4 linked regions of the Arabidopsis thaliana genome follow. Each later gene encodes a partner of the first gene's protein in a complex. Each region holds a gene or a part of one and is shown in the gene's direction. Other genes may lie near its edges. The genes, in order: AT5G02850, AT2G22370, AT3G10820 and AT5G20170.

Region 1 (4,818 bases):
ATGTCGCTTCACGTTTCCATGTCCTTTCCTACTCAAATAAATAACCTGCCTGGATATACTCCATGGGATGATGATACATCTGCATTGTTAAACATTGCTGTAAGTGGGGTTATTCCACCAGAAGATGAACTTGATACTCTTTGTGGAGCAGAAGGCATGCGTTCTCATCTGTACTCAGTTTTTATATTTTGCTTTGGTAGTCTAGTCACTCTATCTTCTGAAGTTTTCATATGCTAAATGCGGCTTACATATCATTGTTTCAGTTGATGTTGGATCAAATGACATGATAAGTGAAACTAGTCCTTCAGCATCTGGTATCGGAAGCTCAAGCAGAACACTATCAGATTCTAAGGGTTTGAGACTGGCGAAACAAGCTCCCTCAATGCATGGTAATTATCTGAACAATTGAGGGACTATTTCTTAGTTTTCATTTTGTGGTGGACGCTGTTGTAATGGTTGCTTTGCAGGTCTTCCTGATTTTGCTGAGGTTTATAACTTCATTGGGAGTGTGTTCGATCCTGACAGCAAAGGCCGCATGAAAAAGCTCAAGGAAATGGATCCTATAAATTTCGAAACTGTGAGTTGGAGCTTTACTTGCCTTTAGATTAACTGATATGTGTGTTGCAGCATATCAATCATTTAGTCTTCTTCTTTGAGTTCCCGAATAAATTCAGCTGTGTGAGAAGATAAATATAAAGATCAGTACTTGCAATATATAGATTCACGAGTTGGAAACACCAAAAAGCCAAAGTACCATGATTCTATGGAGATGTTGGTCAAATAATGGGATTGTTACAACCATGAGTCAGTTTTAGGTGTCATGGTACCTATTTGTAGCTGTCAGTGATTGTTCTTTTTCCTAGTATCCGTCACTAATCACAGTTTTTCTTGCAGGTTTTGCTGTTGATGAGAAACCTCACAGTGAACTTGTCAAACCCTGACTTTGAACCTACTGTAAGTTATAATTTTATCATTACTTCTGTGCTCGTTGAGTATGTGAGGCACATTTGTCTTTTCGTGATAAGAATGAGTGAGAAAAAGTCTCTAACAGCTAACAAACCTACTTACTATCTGCCTTGAAGTTTAACTATAGAAATTAAGACTAGTTCGCCTTTAGTGTGTTATGTTTTTAACCGTTCCAATGATTAAATGAGGATTGTTGTGCTCTATGAGATATAATCTAACCATAATTTAGTCTGAATATGTTGATGCTGCAGAGGAAGGTCATGAACACTTAAGCTCTTAGCTGTTTGTGCACTCAACAAGTTATATATCTTCTTGACGACTTCTTGCTCGCAACAACTCTCTACCAGCTATCAAGTAAGTTTGGTGTTATACCGCATCCCTCCGACACCAATATAAAACACTATAATAAGAACGTTCGCATTGACTTAATAGATTATATCGAAACCTAACACCACAGTTCACTAAGGTTTTCACCTTAATGTTTCTCATTTGTTACTGTAGTTATTGTCTCACATGATCGAACGTCATAATAAGAATGATCTGTAGATCATAACTGTTATATTCTCAGCGTTGCTGCTATTATTCTGATTACACTACCCTTAAGGTCTTAAGAATATTGCTCTTACGGTCTACCAAATTGCTATTGATCTCTGTATATGGTGGATTGTGTCAGATGCATTCTACGGTTGTTGTCTGAGGAGAACATAACTGAGTCGTCGTCACAAACAAGAGGAACATATGCAGTTTCGGTCAGAACCAGTCGTGTGAATGGTAGATATATGTATGTGTGTGTAGAAAATGGTTACCAATTGTATCTTCTTTTTGATAATTATTTTTTCATGCCTTTTGTAATATGTAAGTTTCTTTACCTCGTTCTCTGATTGGTTATTTTCTGGTTATCTGTTTAACCAAAAGCTATGTAACACAGTAGCAAATTGTTACTTAACTCGGAAGTGAGATACATAACTCTGTTGTATTGCACTTGTATCAAGCGTTAACGTCCATGATTCGTCTCTGTTATTGTCAATAACAATTGTTCGAAAGCCAGGTTAATGGTAATTAGGAAATTGAACCGTATCGGTATGGTTTTAGCGGGTCTTTAGACTTTTCTAATTGATACTGAGGGTTTGCGAATTTTGTATAAACAGTTGAACACTAAACAGAGAAGAGAAGCTTCGTCTCTTTAATTATCTTCGATTTAAGAGATTCTTTCGCCGTCGGCGAAGATGCTACAGCATCAGATCGTACAATCTCCGGCGAGATTAGGGTTAACAGGTCCTGGCTCTCCTTCCGTACAAAATCCGACGCCTACTCGTCATGGCCATCCAACCTCTTCTTCATCTTCCCAATCTCAGCACCAACAGATCCAACAACAGCCTAATCTACTTCCTTCCTCCACCGTCGCCGCCGCTTCCTCAGCCTCAGCTTCGGCGGCTGTTTCATCCTCCGCCTTGCTATCGCTCCTTCCTCCATTACCGCGAGCTCAAGCTCTTCTCCAGCAGATGGCGGTTTTGACATCTAAGCTCTTCGACGTCTCTCCCAATCGAGCTATCTGGCTCTCAGCTTTCCGTGGCTCTCTCCCTTCGTTCCTCTCCTCACACTCGTTACCACCTCCGCCGCCGCTTGAAAACCCTAGTCCTTCATCCACGAAGGAGATCCTCTCTCAATTCAATTCCCTCCAGACTCAGCTCTTCGAAGCCGTTACAGAGCTTCAAGAGATCCTCGATCTGCAAGACGCGAAGCAGAAGGTGGCGCGTGAGATCAAATCCAAAGATTCATCTCTTCTCGCTTTCGCTAACAAACTCAAGGATGCAGAACGTGTTCTCGATATGCTTGTTGACGACTACTCCGATTACCGCAAACCAAAACGAAGCAAAATTGAAGAAGATGACGAAGACAATGATAATGAGTCTTCTTCTTCTTCAACCACAGTTTCGTCTCAGCTCAAGTTAAAGGACATATTAGCTTACGCTCACAAGATTAGCTACACCACATTTGCTCCGCCGGAATTCGGTGCAGGGCAAGCACCTCTCCGTGGTGCATTACCACCAGCTCCACAAGACGAACAAATGAGAGCTTCCCAGCTCTACACTTTCGCTGATCTTGATATCGGTCTGCCGAAAACAGTAGAAAACATGGAGAAGAAGGTTGAAGCACTGATTGAGCCACCACCACCACCAGAAGCTATGGATATATCTGCTATTCACAACCTGCTTCCGCCGAATATCGCAGTTCCTTCAGGATGGAAACCAGGAATGCCAGTCGAATTGCCTAGAGATTTACCATTGCCACCTCCTGGATGGAAACCAGGCGACCCAGTTGTGTTACCGCCACTGGAGTCAATTGCTGCACCTAGAGCAGAGGATCATCAACATATGAGACCTTCTCAGGGACTCCACAGACCGCCTGATGTCATACAGGTCCGAGCTGTTCAACTTGACATTTTGGAGGATGATGATAGCAGTGATTACAGCAGCGATGATGCAAGCTCAGATGATGAGGATTAATCAACATTGTGATTGATGGTTCTCTGTAAGGTAATGATTTGACCAATGTTACTGCTAATTCTTGATCAAGTTTGATTTTCTACTTGGTTTCGTTTTGTTTAGCAGTGCCTTTATGTGGATAGATGTTAGTATATGCTTCATCGTTATCAGTATCTTTGATGTATCAAAGTTGTTTCTTACGAAAACCCTGGATTCTAATTCAGTTTACAGAATTATTGGTTATCTTTTTTCCAGAATCATTCTTTAGCTTCAAATTTCAAATTATTAGTAAAATTCAGAATGTTCAACTATTGGAGTTATGCAACTTGACATTTTGGATCGATCTCTCTATACGACAAAGTAAAATCCCTCTTAGGTCATACATACATATCAGAGGCTCTTTCTGCCCATTTCTTTATTGTACAGTTTATTGTTCCATTTGGGCTTCTAATAATATAATGGGTTGACAAAATAAGTAGTAGCCCATTTAGATCTAACCTGTTGAATCTGGACTAGCCACGTGGTCGAATATAATTGTAGGGAAATAAAACTAAAATTGTGTTCTTGGAACAAAAAAATATAATAAAAAAAATCTGACAAAAATATCCATTCATTTCTCTTCTTCTTTCACTCTCGGTTGCCTCCTGGTTCTTTTCTAGTTTCTACTACTACTACTACCTCTAATGGCGGACAAGCTAGCTCTTCCTCTTCTCCTTCCCTGCACTCCTTCCTCTAAACCTTATTCTCACGACCAAAACCACCATATCTCTCGGACGCCTTTTCTTACTACGTCTCTTTCGTCACCACCTCCTCCGCCTGTAGAGCCTCTCCTCCACGATGTTTTCCTTCACCAGAACCCTAATTCCAGACAACCCATCAGCTCTCAAACATCTAGAAACCGTAACCGGACTCGAATTGGCAAGTCACGTGACCCTAACCTCGGTAAACCTTGGTCTTACCATGGTCTTTCTCCACAAGGTCAGCAAGTTCTTCGTTCCCTCATCGAACCCAATTTTGATTCCGGTCAATTAGATTCTGTACTCTCTGAGCTATTCGAGCCTTTTAAGGATAAACCAGAGTCTACCTCGTCGGAGTTACTAGCTTTTCTTAAAGGATTAGGATTTCATAAGAAATTCGATTTGGCTCTGCGTGCTTTTGATTGGTTTATGAAGCAAAAGGATTATCAATCCATGTTGGATAACTCTGTTGTTGCTATAATCATCAGTATGCTAGGTAAAGAAGGCAGAGTATCTTCCGCTGCAAATATGTTCAATGGTTTGCAGGAAGACGGGTTTTCGCTTGATGTCTACTCTTATACTTCGTTGATATCAGCGTTTGCTAATAGCGGAAGGTATAGGGAAGCTGT
Region 2 (4,584 bases), on another chromosome or scaffold:
ACTTGTGAGCTGCAAGACACGGTGGTCTTAGCGAGATTCTTCTTGTTCACCTTGTTGAAGATCTCAGTCAAGAGAGTGTTGAAAGAGTTCTCGACATTTGTGGAGTTTAGTGCTGAAGTCTCAAGGAAAAAAAGCCCTTCCTTCTCTGCAAATTCCTTGGCATCTTCCACAGGAACCGATCTCTGGTTCTCTAAATCCGTCTTGTTACCAATCAAGATGATGACAATGTTCTTATCCGCGTGCACTCGTAGTTCTTCCAACCACTGAGGAATGTGCTCAAAGCTTTCACGTATTGTCATATCGTAAACTAACATTGCACCAACAGCACCTTTGTAGTAGGCTTATGTAATAGCTCTGTGTCTACTCACAGCAAAAGAACAAGAATGTCACTAATCAAACCAACCACATTGCTATGTACAATGGAGAAAACATGCCATGCACAATGATTAGCCACTTGGATGTGAATGTGATCATCACTACATAATTTGATTCTTCAGGAGAATGCTATAACAACACATTACAATGTTGCCGAAGAACAAAATCGAACAATTCCAACACTAATGGTCCAACTTCTAAAAGAGTCGATTACTCTCTAGTCAAAATGAGGTCACTCTCAGGTACACACGAAGATCAAAATCGAAATTGAACAGCAACACTGTAACATCATCGAGTTCGAAGCAATATTTTATCCATTGTTAAATCAGAGAAGATAGAACTAAGATCGGAGAAGGATATAGTACCGTTTCTGGCCTGCGATGTCCCAGATCTGAGCTTTGATGTTCTTATCGTCAATAACGAGCGTTCGAGTATTGAAATCGACACCGAATTGTGGCTTTGGAATCCATACTGAATTCGTCTCTTGTGAACCGAGCTCGTAGCTGTGACTTCCCAACCGCTGAATCTCCGTTCAAAACAACCTTGAATACGTAGTCAACCTCTTCTTCAGCCATCTTCTTCTTCGCTCGCAGTCGGCGATCGAACGACGTCGATTTTCTCGCTGTTTTTACACTCTCCGGTGGACTGAGAGATTAAACTAATCGTAGGGTTAAAATGTAATCCTCTACGGTAGAGAGTACTAGAGTGTATGGTAGTCAAAGTCGTCATACGTGGATTTGATTAATGATTGCTACACGTGTATCGCATTGATAGGTTCTCTTGCTCGGATCACTAATACATAAACTTGGATACAACCCAAAGCTTGACCTATTTTTGTTGAACACCTTTTTGTTTTTATATTTTTCATCCTCTGAAACAAGTCCATAGACTCTTGTATTAATATATCCTGATGATATTTGGTTTTACATTTGCATCTTGTATCATTGTAAACAATTCATAAGCCTTCCCACAAAAGCATGCTTGGCATTTGACAATTGGCAATTCATAAATGATGCATTATAAGCATAAATATCAACTTGGATATTCAACTTGGCCCGTGTATTATGCTACCTCTACAAATTTGGTGAGGTAGGTTAAAATGAGGCCGGTTTGAGTTACCGGTATATTAGACGAGCATTAACATGATTACACACTTGAGGATATTATTGACGAATGAAGAAACTAAAATGGTTTAGTTAATGCAAAATTGAGGATTCATTCGTCTATTGAAATAGAGAAGAATTGTTTGAGGCTAAAATAAATATATTTACATTTTTCCTATTCTCCTCCAAACTTTTCGTAAACATGGTTATTTGACTTATTTTTGAACTTTTTATCTAATAATTTAAAGGATTGTGGTGATGTAGTGGCCACTTAATCTACACAACATCGCAATAATTTTGACAAAATTTTCTACATATTTCTTGTCAACAATTATAAGGAATTAACACATTCTACTTAGTAGACATTTACAGTAATCACAACCAAGATGAAATAACCATATATAAATATCATTTGCTATGTTCATAAACTTTATCGAAACTAGTTGACTTCTTAAAATGCCAACTAATTAGGTTAGGGTTCATGAACTTTTTAGCAAAGATAGCACAAACTAAATTCTATCTTCAACCTAACTAATGACGGTTTACTCCGGTTAACCGGTGGTTATGTTCTCATCATGCGGCCAACTAAGCTAATGGGCTATTTGGTGATCACTAATCAATGACCGAGATGCACTAGAGTTTTTATTATGATCGAGTTCCCAAAAAAGGGGCAACAAGAAAAAACGAAATGGCCTATACAGGGATCGAACCTGTGACCTTCGCGTTATTAGCACGACGCTCTAACCAACTGAGCTAATAGGCCATCTTGCTTTATCTACAGCTAACTACTATATAACAACTACACAAGTGATTCTAGTAACTAGCTAAAATTCTCCGGTGTTAAAAAATCTCAGATTCGCTCCCGAGGACGATTTAGGAAGCTTTCGTTAGTTTTTCCAATTTCGGATTTGGTCTTGTTGAGAATATATTTACGATTTTAATTGAGAGATTTTGTGATAGCTCAATGTCAATGGAGTGTGTGGTTCAAGGAATCATCGAGACACAGGTTCGTTTGTATTTTTTGATTGACGAACAAATCCCAAGTTTTTCGAGTTCATGGATCAGCTTTTAGCTTTCTTATGATGTCCAATTGATAAACCCTAGGCTTGAATTTTTATTAGAATTTGATTAGATTTTCTACTGGATTTTGCAGCATGTTGAAGCTCTTGAGATTCTTCTTCAAGGTCTTTGTGGTGTTCAACGCGAACGTTTAAGAGTTCATGAGTTATGCTTAAGAAGCGGCCCAAATCTTGGTAAAGCCAATTCCTTTTGTTAAATTCAGAAACTTGAAGCTTCCTATGAATCATACATGATTCACATTTGTGAAATCTTCACTTTTTCAGGAGTTGTGTCATCAGAAGTTAGGCTATTATGTGATCTTGATCAACCCGAACCCACATGGTACAGCTTCTTCTTGTTGTTGTTGTTGTTGTATATGTTCTTGTTTCATTCAAAGGAAGCTAATTTAAGAACCATAGGACGGTTAAACATGTTGGTGGTGCGATGAGAGGTGCAGGAGCTGATCAAATCTCTGTTTTGGTTAGAAATATGATTGAAAGTAAAGTAAGCAAGAATGCTTTGCGTATGTTCTATGCACTCGGTTACAAACTAGACCATGAGCTTCTCAAAGTCGGATTCGCCTTTCATTTCCAACGGACTGCGCACATAAGTGTTTCTGTATCTTCTGTTAATAAGATGCCTAAAGTTCATGCTATAGATGAGGCTGTTCCTGTAACACCTGGTATGCAGATTGTTGATGTAACTGCTCCTGCAACTTCTGAGAATTACAGTGAAGTCGCTGCTGCTGTTTCATCTTTCTGTGAATTTCTTGCTCCGTAAGTTCATCTGATATATTTTACAGCACCTGTGATAGTGTCTTTGATATAAGCTTCATCAGTGATATGATTCCTTGTGTTTTCAGGCTTGTTCACTTGTCGAAACCGTCTATCTCCACGGGGGTTGTGCCAACCGCTGCTGCGGCGGCTGCATCTCTTATGTCGGATGGAGGAGGTACTACATTGTAAGAAGTTTGAAGTTAAAAACAACTGTTCTTGTGTTCTCTCTTGTTAGATCTTTTGGTCCAATCTAGTCAATTTTCCAGATTACACAATGGTTGTGAAATCTTGTGAACCATTAGAGTTAAGTATTATTTAATGAGAATCAGTAAGGGATCTTTAATAAATATTCTTTATAAATCACAACTTGCATATGATCTTTGCTCTTCTCTCAACCTTTTGGTATTATGATGTTTCATTGTTGTCACTTGTCAGTAGATTGATAGTTTATGAAGCTTCGAACATGATTAAAATAATGTGAATGTCTTTGTGGAATTACATACTATTTTATTTATCATTCAATCACTAATAAATTCCAATTTGAAAGCCTATTAAAACCTAACATATTAAAAATTTGAACCACAAAAAAATGAATTCTAAAATTCTTCCATTTCCACAACAATAATCATCTTCCTCCACTTGCTTCTTCTTTTTTCAAGAGCCATTCTAAATATCACAAGCCAGAGTAGAAAAATGTATATGTATAGAGAGATTCATAATTTCAATGTCAAAATTTTCGTGTTTCTAATCATCTACTGGTGCTATTAGCAGTCTTGTTCTTGCTCATATCAGCAAGCTCTTCAATAAGTTTTTTCTCCTCTTTGCTCAATCTCTTAGGTATCTCCACTTGTACTCTCACCAACTGATCTCCTCTCATATTACTCTTGTTCAATACCGGAACTCCTTTTTTCGCCATCACAAGCGTCGTGCTAGGTTGTGTCCCAGCTGGAACTTTCAAATCTACTGTCCCATCCACTGTTGGTACTTTCAGTGTCGTCCCTAAAATCGCATCGATATACGATATCTTGCAAGTGTAGAGAATATTTGTATCGTCTCGTTTCAAAATCGGGTCTGGGATAACTTCTATAACAACAAACAGATCGCCTGGTGATCCGCCTCTCTTCCCGGCATTGCCTTCTCCTCTCACTCTCAACCGGCTACCTGAATCAACCCCGGCTGGTACTTTGAGACTTATCCGTTTTGTCTTCCTCACGCGTCCGTCTCCAGAGCAAGTACCACACGGCGTCGAGATCTCTCCAGTGCCATTACAG
Region 3 (6,738 bases), on another chromosome or scaffold:
CTTCTTCGTAGGCTAATCCGAATAAATCAAAAGGGCTTAGTTCAACATTCTCATATAGCCTTTCAAGAAAGGTGTTACCACAGTAAATGCAAGCTCCTTCTCTTCTGCCTTCTCCTTGAAGATGGATTCCTCGTCTACAAGTATGACACCAATGTGTATTTTTCCGCCTAGTCGTAGTCATGGATCTGCAAAAAGGAAAAACGATTTTTTCTCGTCAAACCATTGTCAAGGACCTTTTAGAAAAAAGATTAAAATAACTCATCGTTTGTAACTCTACTGGTGACTAAGTAACATAAATTCCGGACGGAACAAGGCTTCAAGATCACAAGCCAACGAATTTCAAAGTTGGAAAATGAACTAAATTCGAAGAGATATTATGAGTTAAAAGTCCGAAACTGTTTTGTTATATTAATTTAAAATAGGTTTTACAATTTTAGATATATAAGCCCTAAACAACTTTCACAAATCCAAAATGGATACACTAGAAGCACAATTTGAAAGATACATAAAACACTGAACCCTTACAAACACATGACAAGAAATCGATTAAAAGGCCTTTAGATTCAAATCAAACGCAAATGACGTAGAAACAAATAGTCAAATACAAGTAGTGTTTAAGCTCCATAGCTTAATCTTTGACCCCGTGATCTTGCTTTTGCATAGTAGCTATTTTTGTAGAACCAAAATTATGCAGAAATTTTTACACTGAACCAAAACAAAAATATGCAGAAACAAGATCATGCATGGGTTTTAACATTAAACCAAAAAAAGATCATGAATGAGTCAAAGATTAAGCTATGGAGCATAAACGATAACATGTGATCGGTGGAAACAAAACGAATCATGCAAGTATGGCTTACCGGAGTTAAAATGGATTGATCCGACAAACTTGTGAATCTCCAAGTGCTGAAAGAATATTTAAAATAGAAGAAAAGGAAACTTTTGGAAGAAGAGAAGTCTTTAACGCAACTGAAAATAGAGTCGAGGATGATATCGACGACGAAACTTCAAAAGACAGCTTCAACAACGGGAACATGTGGCTGAAGCTTAACAAAAGAGTCAAAGCACGAAACTAACGAGAAATTTAATGAAAAAAATACAAAAATAATAATTTAATACTAGTACTAATTAAAAAATAGTGCTAAACATCTGTGGGACTATGAACAATGCTTTTTAAAACGACATAATTGCGACACCAAAAACGCGTTTATTTAGATTACCTTTCAAGTAATTCACGTGATAAATGTAATTATCCATAACTTTGAAAAATGAGTACCCCATTGTTGGTATCAGGACATGTGTAATGTGTTAATAATTTACTATTACAGTATGCTCTGAATGTAATGTTGATAACATAACTTTAAAAAAACGAATATCCCATCTTTATACTAGCTAGGCCATGTGACGTGTTTTTCATCAAGGGTCATTATGTCATATAGGACGACACATGTATAGTCTAGTTATTACTAATTTACTATTAACTAAATAATCATTCAGTTAATCATAAGCCTATATCTTTAGAATTAATATATATATTGACAAATTCAATATTTTACTTAAATAAAACAGATGAGTTATCAAGATAAATGATCAAAACTATTACCATTTTTTTTTATAACCTAAGTTTTTTAATGTCGACATAAATTTCTGGCTTTTTAAAATTCTAGGGTCTTCTTCTCTTGCCCTCTTTTAATTGGCTCAAGCTCTGTTTCTTTAAGTTTTCTCGGGAAAGTTCTTGTGGACTTTCTGCAGAAACTTTTGTCAGATTCTCAGGCGAATTTTATTTCCTGCAGAGAAACTTAAAAAAAAAAAAAACTACACAACTAGTACTATATTGATTCGTATTCAAAAACCTAAATTCAAATTTAATTAGGGTTTTGCAGATCGAGGAATTCGGATTCCGGAATCGATTTTCCCTCGCCGTTTCGTGATGGCGAAGATGAGACCATCTGTTTCGTTGGATACTTGGAGAGAGTATTTCCGGCGAGGAGATTCTGATATTTTTGGTATCATTGATCATGCGATTATGGTAGCTGCTGCAGATTGGCCAAAGGAGTTTAAATCCAGGAGTGATAGAATTGCTGAGCTTCTCTTCTCTTGTAAAGTGAGTCGCTGCATTGGTTGTGACCACCTTGAGCTCTCGATAGCTGGAGACGAAGCGGCGGTGGAGATAGTTGGAGTTGGCGGCGGCGGTGATAGGGGTGATTCTGGTGTTGCGACGGGTGAAGGTGAAGAGGCGTCTGTGAGTGTTGATGAGGTTATGAGGATCAGAGATATCTTGTCGAACAAAGACGATGAGGTTTTTAGTCTCTTTGCTTGGATTACATTAAAACTTGTGCTAATTCATTGGTTAAATTTGGAATCTTTGTGTTGATTGTTGAGTTTTTGGTTTCTGTCATCTTTTTTGCAGAAAGATTCTGTGTTACTCGAATCTCTGAGAAAGCTTGAGTCAATGTCTATGAGTGTGGACATTCTTAAGGTTTGTTTTTTTGGTGTTGTTTTGATATTGTATGATTTGGTGTAGTGGAAGTTGCTTATTCTGATGGAGCTTTTCGAGGCTGTGGAGTGATTTAAGTGTTTACGTTCTTGCAGGATACTGAAATTGGAAAGGCTGTTAATGGTCTGAGGAGACATAGTTCCGATAAGATTAGCAAACTTGCAAAGACTCTTTTCGCGTATGAGTTTCATCATTCTCATTGTGTGCTTAGTTTCATTTGTTCTCATACTCTCGCATCTGTGATGTGAATTAAACTTTGGCAAAATGTTCCAAAAAAATTGAACCTCCACGGTTTGATTTAGATGCAAACCAGTTGCCTTGTAGGATGTCTCAAATTGTAAAATGTCATTATAAAAGCCTTGGTTGATCATTAGGGAGCTGCTCTTGTGTTAGCTCAATACTTAGAACATTTTACTCTTCCTTACTTTCTGGCTCCCGAGTATAAAGATTGTGTTTTTATATATGGGATGCACAGAGAGTGGAAGAGGCTGGTGGACCAGTGGATGAACACCCCAGAGGAAATGGCTGGTAAATAGCTCTCTCCTCCTGTTCCGTAGTCAGTGCGAGCAGGTTTTGGTCTAGATTTATAGTAATTGGGTCTTGCAGGCACTGAAGGGACGCCAGAGTCTCTAAACCTTTCAGTAATTGATGAAGAAGAAGCCTTTCCTTCTCCTCCACATGATTTAGATATCTATGCACCTGAACCTAATGGGTTTGAACTTTCTCAGGTCTATTAACATTTTTCCCTCTCATCATATTTTATTTCTGGCATAGACGAAATGTTATCCTGACAAGTTTCCTCCCTCGTCCTTGTTTCATAATGTCTTGGGTCACTTGAAGATCTTAGATTGTTTGGACTGCGATGGAAGTGAGTTAGTATACTCTTTGGTACTCTGTTCTCTACTTGAAAGTTTTCCTATATTTTGACACTCATGGTGGCCACTGTTTTCAGATCCTCGTCACAGTGTGGAGTCCAAACATGAAAGAAAATCGCAAAGTAGTGCGGGGAGGAGACCCAAGGGAACAAATGATGCAAATGTGGTTGGGAGGTACTGCAATGATCAACAGACGAGGAGAGAAGAAGCTGATGTTAGACCTATGAAGCACTCAGCCACAGATGTTGTCGAGCCTAAAAGACAAACAAAGCAAAGTAGAGAACAAATGGTATCCGCAATCCAACGAAAACCAACTGCTGTTACTGAGCAAAAGCGGAAACTTGCTGGACCTCAACAAGATGTGAGTGTTTGAGTTAATAAAGCCGTGGTGTTTGATTATTAATCTGTTTTGTTTCTAATAGCAAGTGTTCTTGTCTTTGTTCAGAAACTCAAAGCTCTGGATCCAGACTCAAAGTTTGAGTTTGCAAAGCGGAAACTCCAAGAGAGCTACCACCAACATGAGAATGGTTAGTCAAATCGTCTTAAGAGATTTCAATATTTCCACTATTACAATACACCTAATTCTTAATGACCCATTTGTTTTTGAACAGCTAAGAGACAGAGGACGATACAAGTACTGGAAACTATCCCAAAGCAAAATAAAGTTCAGAAACCGCAACTCAAGAGACCCGCCACACGAAGATAGTCCATTTTTTCCTTCGGATGATCTATACAATTACTACGACCATTCAGAGGCGTTAATATACAACAAAAGTGCATTGACAGATCCAACATAAACTTCTTAGGATGCTCTATTCTTTTGTCCCAGTATTTATTGGTACTTCTGGTCCAGTGAATTCCCGGTTTGGTCCGGTTTTGTGACAATAGAACCTCATAATTGTGACAAGGGAAAATCCCTTTTTCACTTTCTTCATGTTTCATTATGAAAATAAAAAAGAAAATTATTAGGACAAAAGGGCTTCTCGTATTTGACCATCCCTAAACCTAACTTGCGAGGCAAGCAAACTTTTTAAATCTGTTTATACAAAGATTTTGTAATTTTTAATATCACTTATGAGGTGAAATATAACAGAGTGATAAATTCCTAGGGTTACGAGTTACCTTCCCTCATCCTCAATCTCGCGAATCCTCGTGATAGTTCCTCCCAATTCTCAAGGTACCTACTTCAATTTTCCTTGTTGTAAATTTTGTTTTCCTAGTGCTAGTTATCGATAAACCTGATGGGTTAAACGTTGAGCTGTTAAGAATTCTGGCCTAGATTTTGTACGTCGGGGATACAACCGAAAGTCTTTGATTGGAAATCGAAAAGCCCTAATTTTGTGGCCTTTATTGATAAACATAAGTGAGAGCATAGGTTTGGTAAAACAATGGTCTCTGTTTGCATTGCATAGAATTGAAATTTAGCTGCATATGTAGACATGATGAGTTGATGATTGATATTCCTGTATATTTTGGACTCGTACTTGTGCAGATAGATAAAGCAGAGATGGTGGATGAGATGATGATTTTCAAGAAGATGAGTGTCCTTCTAACTGAAAAGGATTTTGTTGATGCCATCGTATCTGTTTCTCTCAAGGACCTTACGAGATCACTCTTTGTCAGGTTCGAGGCCAAGGCTTGCCCTAAGTTTGACCTTATCCATAAGACTTCCGTCGAGACGGTTAGGTGCGTAGGGAAAACCTTTATGCATATGCTCTCTAAGGTTTCTAGAGAGTTTCCTCCCCGCAATCGAACTCATCCCGGTGGCCTCCTCTATCAGCGATTTGATCCTACTCACTTGTCTCTTGCTCGCCAACAAGTTGCTATATGCAAGGAAACTGATTCACAGTATCCGCATGAGATTGTGATTCACTGGACAAGTGCAAGCGCCTGAAAGTGGATGCTCTTGGTTACATGTTTACTATTGCAATGAGATGCGCCCCTAGTTTGGCTTATCTCGAAAAGTTCAGGCAGTACATGGCTCAGGCGAATGAGAAGAATCTGGAAGATGAGACTGCTGCTACTCTGACGAACAAGAAGCATGTCGCCCTCTTGGCTGAGGAAGACTGCACAGTCCTTTGCACCCCTCGCTTTGAGTTTCAAAATGTTGCCGACTTTGTTCTTCCAGAAACTTTGCGTTGGCTTGACGAGTTGGAGCTTCAAGCCAGCTTCAAGCTCCAAGCTAATCAACTGGACTCTGCAAAACTTGCCCGCACTCGCAAGAAGCACCACATGGTGTATTATTCTCGCTTATATATCAATCTGTTGAAGAATCAATGTCTCTCGGTTATTTTATTCTATATCTATCTAGTCTTTGATATTGTCGACATTTGTTTCTTCAGGTCCAATAACATGAAGAATCTCTCTAAAATTTAGTCTTGATTGAGCTAAAATATATAGTTATACTTCATGATACAATGCCTTGGAACTTCAAGTCCACGTCTTGTTGTTGTGACCCTCCAAAAGCATTCCCTAGAAACTTTGCAACAATAGATATGAATTCATCTGGTTTTTCCTCTTGAGGAAGATGACCACATTTCTTAATTACTTCGAACACTGATCCCGGTATGGCTCGTGCCAGCCTCTCTGCGTTCCATGCTGGCACAATACGGTCCGTATCTCCCGTCACAATCAGAACTATTAGAAACATGAAGATAGTATGATGTCATTGGTTCAGAGTTCAGACATACAATGCACAATATTTGGTTCCAATTTCTAATTCATTGTCAGAATCTTATAGAAAGAGATATTACCAGGGCATTTGATTTCTTGAAGCCTTTTAGACAATGGGAGTTTTTTCTCTGAGCCATTATTATCTGTTAGTGTAGCCACCGTGAATTCCACGAGAGCTTTGTCCCATCCCTTGGCTTTAAGAGGCTGTTTTTTTTGCAACAAATACAATCAAATTTCCTAAATTTTTAACATAACAATGCAGAAGAAATAAAGAAACCTGAGAAAACCCGAAAATCTCACCTTTGTATAACCCTGCACGACATGATCCGTCACTTGTTTTGAGTCATACCACGCGTTCCTAACAGCTGTTACTCCAAATTTATTGATTGCCATCCTCACCTGGTGAAAAAAACAACCACCTTAGAAACACATCAAGTGTTCTGGTCTAACAACATATAAAAAATGACATGACTGGTGAATGAAGCCAAGACAAAAAAAAGCGGTACCAGCATTACTCCAAGGAAGGATCTGAGGAAAGCTGCTAAAGCTTTCTTGTAGAGAGAACTCAGCATATTCGCCATTCCCGTTACCACTCTCAATACTGCTCTTATAACACCTTTGGTTAACTCAACTAGAGTCCCTAGAAAGTTGCTAGTGGGAGCTTCTTTGTCACGGTTCTCTCCAGCATCAGTT
Region 4 (6,430 bases), 6.2 Mb from region 1:
TTGGTTAAAATTGCAGCTCAAAAATGGAAATTACGAAAGAGTATGACAATTATTGGTGAGGTGATTTTTTTGGAATGAAGCTGTTAACGATTTGACTGAGGGAAAACTACAACAAAAAGTAATAAAGAAGGCTTGTTATGTCCAAAAGTAGTACTGTCCAGAAGCGGGGCCCATGGGATATGCCTATCAGAGTGGGCTTCCTGTGACCTCTCACACCACCACGTAGGACCTACGAGCCGAGTGCTCAACGGTGGAGAAAGAGAAGGGTCGTTGTCGTTGAGAAGTCTCCGTCTCTCCAGTTTCATTGTATTTGATTCGCATTTAGTGGGTGTGCTTTGTGCAGCCTCATTTTGGAATAGTGAAATTTGACTATAAACATGCGCAAATGAGCCACAACATATTTCAAACTACTTGGTACGCGGTCAATACAAATTCAACCACAATTTGCTCATTTCCTTGGCATGTAATCGATGTGGATATCACTAACCAGAGTTTTCTAAAAGAAAAACATATTGATCCCTAACATATGCTCCAGTGGAAAATGTAAAAACAAATACTCGAGTGTCATAATATATCTCTTTGTTCAGGTCATGCGAGGCACAATCAAACAGGTCTCGAAGGAGCATACGACTGACCAAAGTAAAAGTGGAGAGATATACAATAATGTTTCATAGGAATTGGAAGAAAACTGCGATTACAAATCTGAAGAATAAAAAGGGAAATGCTGACATCCTAATTTCCTTGTTTGAAGAGAATGGATGCAAGACCAGACCTCCATCCGAAATACGCTGTTGGCATAGGCCTTTTGTGTAAAAGTGATGCCAGTCCGGCTGATACCCCCTGACCAGGCAGCCTCACCAACTCCTGACTAGCAATCGGCTCAGCAAACCTGTTTTACAATCCCAAATAACTTTTTAAGTAAGTTACTCTCAACTCTGCGAAGGAAAACAAGTGCACATGCTTCATGCTTCTGTGTGATGTTCCACTATAATGTATTTTAGTAACTGTTCAACAGACTCTAAATAGATCCTCACTTTTCATTCAATGATTCTATAGGACAAAATTTGGGTAGTAAGTGATTCACAGTAGTCAATATACACTGTATTTAACCCGTCCAAAATCCGAATGAGACACCTAATTACTCAAAAGCGAAAACCAGATACAAGATTCACTTACAAAGGGGAAGGTGTAATTCCTTCATAAGCAAAGGAACTGAACCCTTGTCTTTGCTTGTGCTTAGGATTGGAAGAGCATATAACATACACACGTCCACGACGTTTCACTGTTTTACAAAACTCACACATCTTCTTCACAGATGATCTCACCTTCATTGCTTCTCACTCTGCAATTCACAACCGATCATTAACACAAAACTCATTAGATGAAAATGAAAGAGAACTCTTCAAAGTATTCAACTTTAAGATTCAAAACTAAGGATTGTATCCTCTAAACATATCATTTCTACTTAATCTACCAGAAAAACTGCAATCCTTAGTTGATCCGATGATGGAAGCAAAAGTAAAACGAATCTGAAGCATCCATCTCTAACTACACGGAATCACACAAGAGAAAACCCTATAATAGATCCAGATACGAAATCGAGTGATAATCAACGAGAACCCATCAAGCGAAGAACAAAAAAATACCTGCGAATTCAAAGGCGACTACGAAGAAGAGCAATCGATTCCCAAATGCAAATGAAAGGGTTTTACGGAGGAGTTTTGCACAGTCAGAGTACAACATATTTTGGGCTTTTAATGGGCTTTACCCGTAAAAATGATCCGGAATTTTTTTGACCCGGATTATTAGATCTAAATATCCGATTTGGAGCGTTGAAGCGATTTGGCCGGACTGTGTTACCGTCGACCTAGAAAATCTGAATTTTTGACCGGGAAGATTTTTTTCTGTACGATATGGATAGCGACATGGAAATCTCTCTCGACAGGCTTCCCATTAAACGATTGGAATCTATCGAAGAAAATGGCGCCGAGCGTTTTCCTTCGTAAGTGTTGTCTGGTGTTTGAGAAACGAGACAAAATCTTCCCAGATTGTTTTGCTTCTAAATTATTCCTTTTGTTTTTGACGTGTAGTGATGTTGATTACGATGATAAGAGAGTATCGCTGATTCGGAGAATAGACTTCGCGTGGGCGTTGGAAGAGGAAGATGAGCTGAAGAAGAAGAAGCAGAAGAAAAGCTCCAAGGATAGCGTGGAGCAATGGAAATGGAAGGGAATGGTTGAGAATTTGCAATTGGCTCATCAGGAGCTCACTGTCATCATTGACCTTATCGACACAGTGAGTGACTCTTGTTGATAATAGATAAGAATTTTGGGATATTCATAGCTCTTACAGTGTCTGTTTTATTGGTTTGAATGGAAGGAGCTGAAGTTTGGTTTCTGATATTTGAATAGAGAGTAAAACTTAAACAATTTATCTTCTGATTTTATCTTTGAAGGTCCAAGCAAATGATGCAGTAACAGTTGCTGGGATGACCAGACCTAAGCCGATGCCGAATGAGATTCTCTCGGATCTTGCTGTGTCTACTGCTACCAAGCTGCAGGGCTACCGGGTAATCAGTAGCTTACTTTCTTATGTGCAATTTAACTTTGCTTAAAGATGGAAGGATTCTTGTAATTGTTATTAGTTAGGCACTTTTTAGTATCCTGAGAAACTGTTGGAAACATTAACTTGGTTTCGTAAAGAGCTTTTTAACTATATAATTGTCTTTGGATGGTATGCTTATCTCACTTCTGAATATCTGTTTCCTCTGCAGAATTTAGGAAACTACTTTAAACAATCAGCAAAAGCTTTAGAGCAGAAAATCAATCGTGAAGCAAGGTTTTATGGTGCTCTTATCAGGTTCGAGTACTTGCTTTTCATTTAATGTCAGTGGCTATTTTCCTTAGTACTATTTTGCAACTTTTAAGAATTTGTTGTTTGCATTCTTGATACTAGTTTTAGGTAGCTTACAATGTCATAGCTATTTGTGTTGTGCACAGATAATTAGCGTCCGAATTTTGGATGTAGAGTTATTACGCACGTAGGTTTTGTAATATGTTATGACTTATGACTGATAAACGTGAAAGCATTTTATTATTCTTGTCTAATGTGAAAAAGTTCTAAATTTTGACTTCTACACCGTCTCTGTTACTGAACCTGCATAGTACAGTACTTCAGGAACATCCATTTTGTTGTGTAGTGACTGCTTAAGATTATGCCAACACAAATTAGAGAATTTCCGTTGAAATTGCTCATAATTTGTATAAAATGATAAGCTGACTTCAGCTTCCAAAATAGAGATTGATTTATACGTGCAAATGGTTATTTTTGCTATACTAACAAGCTTATAGGTTGCAGCGGAACTGGAAAGTCAAGCGACAACGCATGCTTGCTTCAAATGCCAGCAATGAGGGCTTCACCATTGATCTTTCTGACAGTTCATTATATGATCCGACTTCTGGTTTTCGCCCATCTACACTGTCCACTATTCGTGTAGATCATGATTCAGCTGGTATGCTGGCCATTAATGTACCCCAAGATTCATGGTACTCTCTTCGGTTTGGGTATGTTGGCTTAAATCCGATTGGCAACTCAAACGAATCTGATGAGCACATAGACTCGACTACTGGTCACGATATCCCTGGAACATCAGAGAAGTTGTCTGCAAGTGACGACAAATATGTTAAAGAAACTCATTCGCTACTGAGGGAGGTGCATAAATCAATTTTTGCTGAGCAGGTGGTATTTTTGTCATATATCTTGTAGTACGCTTGGTATATCTCTTCACGACTATTTCTCACTTCTTTGGTCTTCTTACCAGTTGTTTGACATGCTAAATCGTGAAGCATTCAATGAAGGTGTGGGATTCAACATAAGTGGACTACGAGAAAATTTTATGGAAATGAGCATCGGCCAAGGAGCTTCTCTGTTTGTGTCTCTCCACCCATCAGGCAAAAATCCCAGCATCAAGAAGTCGGAATCTGCAACCTTGCTCATTGAATCATCTGGCAGAGTAGAACCAGCAGAAGGAGGAGACTATCGCTTGAAGAAGCTAGGGTTCCCTAATCGCACCAGCTATGAAATATACTTGCAACAAATTTTTCACGAGCATGCCTTTGGAAAAGCTAAAGATCAGCTCAAGTCAAAAAGTATCAGAGCATCCAATCAAACAGAAAAGGACAGCAACTCCGGACTTCTTGACCATTTCTGCTTATCTTTGACTCATAGAATCTTCTCAAATAGAGTTCTTGTGCATCTTGAAAGCGTGGTATTTTCCCTGATGTGCTAAACTTTATTGAATGATCCTTCTCTATCAAGAAACTTGTTGTCATCTTTGATCATGCTTTAAAAAAAATGGTTACTTCCTCATTGAACAGGTCTGCAAGGTCCCGTATCTTCATCTGATATCTCATCCTACATGGAATTCTCGGACATCGTCATGGACTGTCTTCATGACTGTTCCTCCATCAATCATCCCCCAAGGAAGGTCTGAAACCCAGTCTCCTGATGGTAAGAGGAATCTTAAGACGCAGTTCCGGACAAAAGTGGTGGTGAAGGATGATTGTATTAGTGTTGAAGCGGAATGCACGCCCAATGTGGTTGGCTTACTCAAAAGCAGTTCCTGCAATCTATTCTCTATAAACAAATACGAGTGCGACGTGGCCGACCTTCCCGTGATGATTCTCCAACAGGTATGTTCTTTCGTTTCCTAAAGTTGATCATGTCTATAGCAACACGGTCCCTTAAACACGCGGTTTATTTATTTGAGAAGGTGGCGAGCCAGATAGTGTGTTGGCTACTGGAGGAAGCACGGACGGTAGGGACAAAAGCGAGCAGGGAATTTCTGTCACTATCGTTAGAGATAGTGGAAGGGGAGAGAGTGAGCCTGGTGGCGCATGTAAACCCGGAAGACGCAAAAGGATGCATCTCGTGGTGGCTAGTGATGGAGAATGGATGCACAGAGGAGAGGGAAGGAGTGTCGGAGAGTAGGAAGTTGTTGGGTCATTTGTCTCTGGATGTCTTGTACTCTGTTCTCATGGATTTGATCAACTTGTGTGGTACTGGTCGCAATGCTTTAGAGAGATTGTAAATGCTGAAAGACAAGTAGTGAACATGTTTAGTTCTTCAAGATTTGTAGATTACAATGGTTTAGTGAGACTCTAGTGTCTAGCCCAAACATCACTTTTTTGAATAGTTGGAAATGTGGATTTTATGGATTAAGGATTGATGATTATTATAAAACATCTTTATTTCAAATAATATTATCAATTTTTCTTTTTTAAAAAATCTTTGAAATCATAATGACTTTAGTACTTAAAGGAAGAAAGGGGTAGAATTGGAAATATGTAGAGAAAACGAGAATAACTCTGACGCGAACGTTTCTCTCCTCCGTCTCTCGATCCCTCTCTTGACGTCTCGCTGATCTGTTTTGCTAAGATTCAAGCTTCAAAACCCTAATTTCTCTAGCCATTAGCATCGATTTCAGCTCAACTTCAGGTTTGCTGTTCCCTTTTTTTGTATCATCCCATCCACCGATCGATATTTCTCAATTTTCTGATTTGCTGCTCTCTCGAGAGAGAGTCACCGTTATGGAGTTGGATTCACTATATGATCTGATAATTATGAAATTCACAGATGCTTCTATATATAGTAAATCTGATTTATTAGTGACGAATAGATGAACATATTCCCTTGATTATTCTTCTACAAATCTCGGTAGTGATAAATTGTTAGGTTTTGACGATAATTGTACTTGCTCAGTTTTTCATGTGTTTAGTTATGATTCTTCTTGGGCATGTCTGTGTCTTCGAATCGATTCTCATGTGATTCCCATTATTGTTTTTTTTCTTCTGGTTATTTCAGATTCAAGGAAACAATTATTAGCTTCTCAAGTGCTTCAGTGATCCGATACAATGGTAGTTATTGCCTTCTCTGTTCCATTGTTAAATTTTGTTAATTTCAGTGATTTTGAGCTAAGAGTTTTGTTTATCTTTGATAAATTCAGTCAGCTTTGTTCAATTTCCATTCGTTTCTGACGGTGGTGCTGCTTGTGATCTGCACATGCACATATCTGAAGATGCAGTTCCCTGCCATTTTAGAGCAGAAAACTGGGTTTGTACCTTCTTTGTTCTCCTTTTTCGTGAATTTTATTCTCAAAACCGATAACACTAACACATTTGGAGCTTTGACACCGGTTATTGTTTTCAAGCATTGTCTTTTGCCAAATTAAAGATGCTTTGTCAGATTTCTCTGCATATTGTTACTTTAGATTGCAAATGTTACTTCATCCTAGTGCTTTTTTTGTATTTATAGCTTGCATCTAATGCCCTCAGTCATCACTTTGTTCTATGCATATTAATGATAGAAATTGCTTGATTAATTACTATTGCAGGTTTCGAGGATTTTTCTGGAAGGCTGCTAGAATAGGTAG

What was found.
Region 2: AT5G02850 (region 1) and AT2G22370 share a complex: the UniProt entries of both Arabidopsis thaliana proteins name them as parts of the mediator complex.
Region 3: AT5G02850 (region 1) and AT3G10820 share a complex: the UniProt entries of both Arabidopsis thaliana proteins name them as parts of the mediator complex.
Region 4: AT5G02850 (region 1) and AT5G20170 share a complex: the UniProt entries of both Arabidopsis thaliana proteins name them as parts of the mediator complex.

What each region holds. Positions count from the first base shown.
Region 1 is NC_003076.8:649,967-654,784, forward strand, and holds AT5G02850 (hydroxyproline-rich glycoprotein family protein), read left to right. Parts: upstream 1-2,081; 5' UTR 2,082-2,192; coding exon 2,193-3,473; 3' UTR 3,474-3,797; downstream 3,798-4,818. Other genes in the region: LCL1 (LHY/CCA1-like 1), read left to right, coding at 1-154, 264-389, 468-577, 895-954, 1,196-1,246; AT5G02860 (Pentatricopeptide repeat (PPR) superfamily protein), read left to right, coding at 4,136-4,818. UniProt on the Arabidopsis thaliana protein: Component of the Mediator complex, a coactivator involved in the regulated transcription of nearly all RNA polymerase II-dependent genes.
Region 2 is NC_003071.7:9,499,937-9,504,520, reverse strand, and holds AT2G22370 (mediator of RNA polymerase II transcription subunit), read left to right. Parts: upstream 1-2,310; 5' UTR 2,311-2,442; coding exon 2,443-2,484; intron 2,485-2,631; coding exon 2,632-2,731; intron 2,732-2,821; coding exon 2,822-2,879; intron 2,880-2,956; coding exon 2,957-3,313; intron 3,314-3,399; coding exon 3,400-3,502; 3' UTR 3,503-3,737; downstream 3,738-4,584. Other genes in the region: AT2G22360 (DNAJ heat shock family protein), read right to left, coding at 4,062-4,584. UniProt on the Arabidopsis thaliana protein: Component of the Mediator complex, a coactivator involved in the regulated transcription of nearly all RNA polymerase II-dependent genes.
Region 3 is NC_003074.8:3,385,428-3,392,165, forward strand, and holds AT3G10820 (Transcription elongation factor (TFIIS) family protein), read left to right. Parts: upstream 1-1,772; 5' UTR 1,773-1,930; coding exon 1,931-2,299; intron 2,300-2,410; coding exon 2,411-2,479; intron 2,480-2,592; coding exon 2,593-2,675; intron 2,676-2,972; coding exon 2,973-3,025; intron 3,026-3,103; coding exon 3,104-3,225; intron 3,226-3,337; coding exon 3,338-3,365; intron 3,366-3,449; coding exon 3,450-3,733; intron 3,734-3,817; coding exon 3,818-3,899; intron 3,900-3,983; coding exon 3,984-4,077; coding exon of another isoform or gene 4,078-4,078; exon of another isoform or gene 4,079-4,201; coding exon 4,202-4,235; exon of another isoform or gene 4,236-4,481; coding exon 4,482-4,549; intron 4,550-4,725; exon of another isoform or gene 4,726-4,809; coding exon 4,810-5,266; 3' UTR 5,267-5,576; downstream 5,577-6,738. Other genes in the region: AT3G10815 (RING/U-box superfamily protein), read right to left, coding at 1-181; AT3G10840 (alpha/beta-Hydrolases superfamily protein), read right to left, coding at 5,780-6,009, 6,126-6,249, 6,346-6,444, 6,552-6,738. UniProt on the Arabidopsis thaliana protein: Component of the Mediator complex, a coactivator involved in the regulated transcription of nearly all RNA polymerase II-dependent genes.
Region 4 is NC_003076.8:6,806,213-6,812,642, reverse strand, and holds AT5G20170 (RNA polymerase II transcription mediator), read left to right. Parts: upstream 1-1,723; 5' UTR 1,724-1,913; coding exon 1,914-2,002; intron 2,003-2,090; coding exon 2,091-2,295; intron 2,296-2,455; coding exon 2,456-2,569; intron 2,570-2,773; coding exon 2,774-2,859; intron 2,860-3,350; coding exon 3,351-3,738; intron 3,739-3,820; coding exon 3,821-4,267; intron 4,268-4,376; coding exon 4,377-4,691; intron 4,692-4,771; coding exon 4,772-5,089; 3' UTR 5,090-5,268; downstream 5,269-6,430. Other genes in the region: AT5G20180 (Ribosomal protein L36), read right to left, coding at 733-889, 1,177-1,331; AT5G20165 (kish-A-like protein), read left to right, coding at 5,913-5,915, 6,005-6,111, 6,209-6,277, 6,392-6,426. UniProt on the Arabidopsis thaliana protein: Component of the Mediator complex, a coactivator involved in the regulated transcription of nearly all RNA polymerase II-dependent genes.